2 linked regions of the Oryctolagus cuniculus genome follow. The protein of the gene in region 2 interacts with the protein of the main gene of each other region in a biochemical or structural test. Links are inferred from orthologs where the notes say so. Each region holds a gene or a part of one and is shown on either strand. Other genes may lie near its edges.

The links. The genes of interacting proteins can lie anywhere in the genome.
Region 1: of the proteins of SREBF1 (region 2) and SIRT1, one has a biochemical effect on the other in vitro, tested with the Homo sapiens proteins (2 studies listed by BioGRID, with this or other methods). The link is inferred for Oryctolagus cuniculus from reciprocal best matches to the Homo sapiens genes SREBF1 and SIRT1.

What each region holds. Positions count from the first base shown.
Region 1 is NC_091446.1:59,858,212-59,861,711, reverse strand, and holds part of SIRT1 (NAD-dependent protein deacetylase sirtuin-1), read right to left. Parts: intron 2,917-3,500; coding exon 2,353-2,916; intron 1,675-2,352; coding exon 1,346-1,674; 3' UTR 1,330-1,345; exon of another isoform or gene 1-1,329. UniProt on the Homo sapiens protein: NAD-dependent protein deacetylase that links transcriptional regulation directly to intracellular energetics and participates in the coordination of several separated cellular functions such as cell cycle, response to DNA damage, metabolism, apoptosis and autophagy.
Region 2 is NC_091448.1:62,549,911-62,553,987, forward strand, and holds the start of SREBF1 (sterol regulatory element-binding protein 1), read right to left. Parts: upstream 2,801-4,077; 5' UTR 2,683-2,800; coding exon 2,575-2,682; intron 1-2,574.

The DNA of each region.
Region 1 (3,500 bases), on a different chromosome or scaffold from region 2:
TACTAAGCCAACACAGAAATGCTTTATACTTTATAATTGGCATAATGTTCAAAAAAGGTCTGGAAAATAAATGTGCTGTGCAATTTTATAATAAAGTATGAACTTTTTTGAAAGGCTAGAAGCTTCTGCAGCTTAGAAAGTTGATCTCTAAGTCTTAAGGCAGGCTAAGCTTTTAAATAAAGATACATTGTAAGAACTAGTTTCATTCATTAACTGTTCTGCTATTACAAGTTATTTCATGTTCACCTTCCATAATACTAGGCTAGCAGTTTGGTATTTATTACCCCAAATCCTCCCAAAGGAGACATGTACTTTCTGGCTGAGTTAAAATTAACATCTTATTACTTTGGAACTGTAATCAGAGGCCTGTTGCTCTCCTCATTAATGGAAAAACAGCAGTCCAAAATATTACACTCTGCCCTGTAGAAGTACCATAACTATAGATTCAGAAAAGCTTTGCATATTCACATCTTGCCAGTTTAATACTTACAGAACAGGATTGATGCAAGCTCTACCACAGTGATAGGTATTTAAACAATGGCAAATATTTCAAAACTAAGGGGGTCCAGGCAGGCACTATTGTTTCTAAAGCAACTGAAACATTTCCAAAGCATTTGTTTTTCAGGTTAGTTTTATGAGCCAATATAGACATTATTACATGTCCTCAGGAAGTACAAAAGCCATCTTCATTTGAACAGATACAATATTCCTGAAATGCTTAGCACCAAGTCCTTCTTTTACATAAAGATAAACCGAGTGCCTTCCTGCATATTGTTGACTTCATTCTACTCAAGTTGCATGTCATTTCAGATTTTTAAAAAGTTAGCTGCCACAAGTTTTGGAAAATGCCAGTGTTTAAAAATAGATAATTGTGCTAAAAAATCAAAAGTATAGCAGAACAGATTTTGAGGACTTCAAATCATTCAATGTAATAAAGAAAAGTGTGAAAATACCATTCTTTGGTCTAGATAAGCTGTTCCCTTTACATTAATTTAACATTCCAATGGCTTTTTGAATTTAAAATGTTGAAACTCACTAGGCAAAAAATTATATATACATATGGATGTATCATACAAACGAACCCTTGAAAGAAAGTGAAAAAGTCTTGACCAACATTTGGTTAAAGATACTTAGTACCTTTCTTTCAAAACAAAAAGTTAGTGTTGCGTGTACAGAAATAATAAAGTTAAAAAATTATCCATGAAAAACCACCTATTTTACCAGTCTATAAATATTACACCTTTCTGGTTTCCTTCTCTATTGAGTTCACAAGTAAACATTCACTTTGACATGCTAAAGTTCCTAATGCTGGTGGAACAATTCCTGTACCTGGACAGCTGCAACATTATGATTTGTTTGATGGATAGTTGACATCTGTTGCTTCCTGTTTCACAGATACAGCTTCATTAACTGCCTCTTGAAGACCTCCATCAGCCCCAAATCCAGTTCCTCCAGGTCTCTCTGGAACATCAACATCATCTTCCAAGCCATTGTAGAATTCTTCAATCTCACTTTCATCCTCCAGTGGTTCTTCTAAACTTGGACTCTGGCATGTGCCACTATCACTGTTACTTCCACAAGAACTAGAGGATAAGACATCATCTTCAGAGTCTGAATATACCTCAGCGCCATGGAAAATATAACGATTTGGTGGTAAAAACAGATACTGATTACCTGAAATATGGTAGTAAAAGGGAAATGTTAGTAATCAAACTTCTAAGACTATTTGGTAGCCTAGAATTAAGAGTAGGTTTCAGCTTTGCCTTTTTTACAAGTGTCACTACTACAGACTATTACTATTAATAGTGTTTTGTTAAAAACAAGCTGTAAACTTAGTAGTCCTGGGTGCAAATCTTAGTTTGCTACTTGTTTAAAATTAAGTATCCAGCCCCGCCTACATTAGCTACCCAATTCATTTTACTGAAGTACTTATTTCAAATTCATTATTTGCAGTAACTTTTATTTTGTGAATGTCTTCACACACACACACTGTAGTCTGGACACCGACAGAAAATTAGGCCCCACCACCAATCTGCTGCATCAAAATTTATTGTCTATAAGACCTATACATATTAAACTTCGTAAACCCATTGACAAAGAGTTCACCTATGATAACAAACGGAGGTTCCTTCTCAACCCCTCCATACAGGGCTTTAACTTCAAGTAAATGAGTTTTTCCCTATGATAAGATAATACAAGCAACCTTTTTCTAACTAAAATTGTTAACTTTTCATCCCTGAACACAGTTAGTTGCTACATAAAGATACCCTAATCAATATTAGCCTGCCAAGTTGCTAGCTTCTTGCAGTTGTCATAATCATCTTTACAAAATAGTTCAACAGCCTCTCTTACCATCGAGCCGCTTACTAATCTGTTCCTTTGCAATTCTGCTGGGCCAGCACTTTCTCACTGTGTCAGCAACTGAGGTTCGTTCATTTTTCTCCCCAGTATTGGAACCAACACTCTTCATATCCGGATTTTCCACCTGTTCAGTGACACTTTCAGTATTCCTAGGATTAGTCTGTACTTCCTGTGATTTTTCTTCCATACAAACTTTTGATTGAGAGACATCTGAATCGTCCACATTACTCTTAGTTGCTTGGTCTATAAGCTTAACAATCATTGAAGAATTTGGTGGTGAAGTTCTTTCTGGTGAACTTGAATCTTCTGAAATATGTAGAGGTGTTGGTGGCAACTCTGACAAATGAACCAACTCTTTTTGTGTTCGTGGAGGTTTTTCAGTAATTTCTGAAAGCTTTATAGGGTTGCAGCAAAGTTTGGCATATTCACCACCTAGCCTGTGACACAGTTCATTAATTATGACATCACAGTCTCCAAGAAGCTCTACATCAAAATGTAGATGAGGCAAAGGTTCCCTATTAATTAATATCTGAGGCACTTCGTGGGGTATGGAACCTAAAAATGGGGTGAAAATGAGAGAAAGGGGAGGGGAAGTAGGCTGGTAAAATCACAACAGATATGCCATGCAAAAATCTAATAAGGATCAGACTCCAACCAAAAAAGAAACTCTCCACTAATACTTAACAACTGTTACATATAATAGCCATTACATTTCATCAAACTAGCTTGTAAGCAGGTGAGCAGTACCTTTTAAAATCCCAGGTTCTGCTCCTGTCTCGTGGTTACCTCAATGTCTTTCTGTAGAATGAGGGTAATAACAGTACTTTTCCAGAAGGTTCTGGTGAGGATTAAATGATTTAATGTGTCATGTGCATAGTAGAGTTCTTGGCATGTAAGTGTTACCACTCTGATAAAAAGGGGGTGAAAAAGTCACAAATATAAGTGTGTGTTACATTTTAAAAAAGTTATCTTGGCCTATCACCAACACACACACAAAGCTTTTAAGAGAAAAGCTTTTAAGGCAGAGAAAGCCTCTGAATTAGCTTTGAAAGGGGGGAAAATATAATGTAAAGAGGCTTGTATATTACATTTTCAAGTTTCATCGAATTACAAATAGGCTTATTTTACTTTAATAGAAC
Region 2 (4,077 bases):
CCAAGCTCCCAGCCACGAGGGAACACGCATGTCATGTCCCTGCGCTGCCCCCTCCCCAGCCAGCCCAGCTCGTCCCTGGGGCGCCTCTCCACCCTCACTTCTCTCAGGGGAACTGGCTTTCCCACTGGCTCTTCCAGACCGTGTCCAACCTGCCCAGGGCCAAGTCTGGTGGCAGCCCCCATAGAGGCTTCTGTAGAAATCCTCTCCCCAGCAAATCTCCCCTCCCAGAGCCCAGACCTTAGGAACCAAAGTGAGGATCCCAGCACAGGCTGGCCTCGGGGGTGGGAGGGGGCCCACTGCGGCACAGGGTAGGAGAACAGAACCACTGTGGTGTCTTTAGCAGGTGGAAGTGCGGGGGAAGCGGCTGGCCGCTGGCTGCGACATGGAACAAAGCAGATCCTCATTGTTGGGAACCGGATGGATGCTACTGTAATTCACCAAAAAAAAAAAAAATGCAGACAGCCTGGGGGGTGGGGGAGGAAAGGGCAGAAACCATACAGTTACAAGGAGTCCAAGTGGGCAGCTGATGATGGGCCCGCTACTTGGTACACATACTGGAAACTTGCATAGGGCGCTACTGGAAACTGTTGCATAGCTCGCTTAGAATGTATCTATTTCCCAGTGTGTAAAGTTGGTACCTTAATACACTTGTGGGTGTTTTGTTAAAGATTTATTTCTCTCATTGGAAAGGCAGAGTTATAAAGAGAGAGAGAGAGACAGAGAGAGAATCTTTCATCCTTTTAACAGTTGGGGCTGGGTCAGCCTGAAGCCAGGAGCTTCTTCTGGGTCTCCCATGTGGGTACAGGGGCCCAAGGACTTGGGCCATCTTCTACTGCTTTCCCAGGTGCATTAACAGGGGCCTGGATTGGAAGTGGAGCAGCCAGGACTCAAACCGGCACCCCCATGGGATGCCAGTATTGTAGGCGGTGGCTTTATGGGCTATGCCACAACTCTCTGGTCCCTGTTTTTGAAAAAGTGGATGAAAGGGTCAGTATTACAACTGGGTAGGTTAAGCCACCACCTGTGGCACCAGCATCCGAGATAAGCACTTGGTTGGAGTCCCGGCTGCTCCACTTCTGATCCAGCTCCCTGCTGTGGCCTGGGAAAGCAGCGGAAGATGGCCCAAGTGCTTGGGCCCCTGCACCCACGTGGGAGACCTGGATGGACTTTCCCACTTGGCTGTTGTAGTCAGAACCAGCAGATGGAAGACCTCTCTAACTCTAACTCTCTCTCTGACTCTAACTCTAACTCACTCTAACTCTTTGCCTTTCAAAGAAATAAATCCATCTTAAAAAAAAAAAAAAAAGTGGATTAAGCTTCAGGGCTTATTTCTGGTGGGTAGATTTAAGAAACATTTTCTTTCTTTTGTTAATCAACACTTCCTACTTTTTCTACAATGGAAAAAAAAGAAACCCAATGTGTTGCATAACCAGGAAAAAGAACAGAAAGGGTGAGTAAAGACAGAGAGAGAGACCCTCCCCCATAGTGGGCAGACCTCAGCCACTGCCCACCGCCCCCGCCTGGTCCTGCAGGGCTCCAGCCTCCCTCGCTGTCGCCGATGAGCACTCAAGCCCCGTCTGACCCCCCAACGACGCCCCCCACGTGGCTGCCCAAGCCCCGGGAGTCAGGGAGAAGGCCAGGCACAGATCTGAGTCAACTGTCCCAGCTCCCTCGTGAAGGGGGCACTTACGGGGGGAGGAAAGGGGGGACTGAGACTCGGTGGGCGGGCGAGGGGGCTCCAGCAGGATGGCAAAGGGTCCAGCTTCAACTCTGACCCTCCGAGCCCACGGGGATCCCTGTAAGTCGCAGCCATAGGCTGCGCAGGGCAGCGGCCACCAGGGTGCCAGCGTCCATGCAGGTTGCTCCTTTGCCCTTAGCCTTCGCGTCTTCCCACGGCAGGTGCATGGGGGAACTTCCTGGGACTTGGGGTTCGCCGGGCCTGCCACGTGGAAGCACCTGCAGCCCGGAGCTGCTCCTTAGGGACAGGGCGCCCCGCCTGGGCACTGCCCGGGGCCTCTACCCTCGCCCCGCTGGCCCCGGGGCTGGCCCTCAAGTCTGAGCTGTCTGCGAACCCTCCGCGTCTACGACGTGGTGGTGGGGTGGAGTGGGGTGGGCTTGGATGGTGGGGGCCTGGCCTTCGGTGGTGGCTTTACGACGCGTGCGCAGAACCCAGACCCTCTCCGGCGGCGGCGGCGGCGGCTGGCAAAGAGGCCGCACCGTGCGCACGCGCAGAGGCGCCTGCGCCCGGCTGAACTCTCAGGCCGGAGGGAAATGACCGTGAGTAACCCCGCGCGGACGTCACGGCGGGGGCGGGGCCTCGGCGACGCCCGGGTCCCAAGCTCCAGCCGCGGCCGCCAACGGGGCTGGGGAACGGGGCCGGCCCCCGCGGCGCAGGGCCCGGGACGCGTCCAGGCGCACGTGTCCTCCCCGCCCCGCCAGCGCCGAGCTGCCCCGGGACCCCCGGCGCGACCCCGCCCAGGCGGCCCGCAGCCCCGGGAAGCCCCCGCGTGTCCCCCACGCCGGCCGGGGAGACAAAGGCCGGGGCGCCTCCTGCGAGTCCCCCACCCTCCGCACCCACCGCCCCGGCGCACCTTCGATGTCCGTCAGCAGCGCCGCGTCCAGCTCGCACGGCTCGGCCAGCGCCTGCTCCAAGGCCGCCTCGCTGAAGGGCGGCTCGTCCATGGTGCCGGGCCCGCCGCCGCCGCCGCCGCCCCCGCTCCGCGCGTTCGAGTCCCGCGCCGGCCAAGTCGCTGGCGGCCCGGCGCAAAGTTCCTCGGAAACTGGGTTTCCCCGGGCAGCGACTCGGACTCCGCAGGGCGGGCGCGGCGGGGGCGGGGCCTGGCGGGAGGTCCCGCCCCCCTGGGTAGCCGGCTCCGCCCCCACGCCACGCCCCTCCGGCGGAACCGTGGAGCCCCCGCCGGGTCTCCGCCGGCCGCAGGGGCACAGAGCCTGTGGCCAGCCGCAGCGAGCAAGGGGGCCGAGTGGAAGACCCCACCAGGATGGGTTCCAACGCTGGGGTCTCTAAACCGGGGGTCGGGGGCGCGACCCGCTCAGTTCCCTCTGTCTGGCTGTGTGGGGCTCCAAGTGACAGCCGTCACTCTGCCTCGGTTTCCCCCATCTGCAGACGGACCTGGGGCCCGGGCTCGGCCTGTGGAGTCTGCCTAGCTCCTGCGGCGGGGAAGATAGTGTCTCATCCGGTCTTTATCTCTGGTTTCCTCCCAGACTGAGCTATGGGTAGGAAGCAAGACCCCAGACTAAACAGTGACCCGCCCGAAGCTGCAAACCCCAGAGCCAGGCCAGGGGTCTCAATGCGGGAGATCGACATCACTCAGAAAGAGGCCCCCTTGGTGGAGGGCAGCCGAGGAGACTCAGCAGGGGTCTGGACCTTCCGCCCACCCCCACCCCCACCCTCTCCCCAGGCTCCGCCAGTCAGGGCAAGTCCAAGACCGCCCCCGGCTGACTCCAGTTATATAGTCTGTCCGCTCACGTCCACACCCGTGCAGGATGCAGCCTGCAAGGGGGTGGGGGTGCCCTGCAGGGAGAAGCCAGCTGCAGACACCCGGGACCTGGGGCTCAACCTGCACACAGATAACCCACACCAGGGTCTCTAAACTACAGCGCCTGCACAGGCATCCTGCTCAGGGACCCCACCCAGGGCTTGCTCTCTCCAGATGCTGGCTGGGGTCTCCCAGGCTCGCCACCCCCCCCCCCGCCCCCCAGGAGGCCTCTGGCATCCGGTGACTTTCCCTGAAAATTCAAACAAGCCCTTCTTCCCAGGGGACAGGGATGGGATTAGGGGGTGCCAGGCGACGCCCCCAAGAACACTTTTCTTCCAAGTCGGGCGGCTGAACTGGGCACCGGGTACCGACAGAGGCAGGTACGGAATCCCCAGGGGCCATGGTCTTGGGGATCCGCCTCGCCATTACCGAAATGGGTTCAGCATAGCTCCAGATAACAGGGGCCGGTTAAAGCAAGGTCACTGCAAAGGCCCACGGGACCTGAGCCTGGTTGAAGCCCCCCCGCCCCGTGCTGCACAGTTCATGGCCGGGGGGCCGGGGGCCGGGGGCCGGGGGCCGG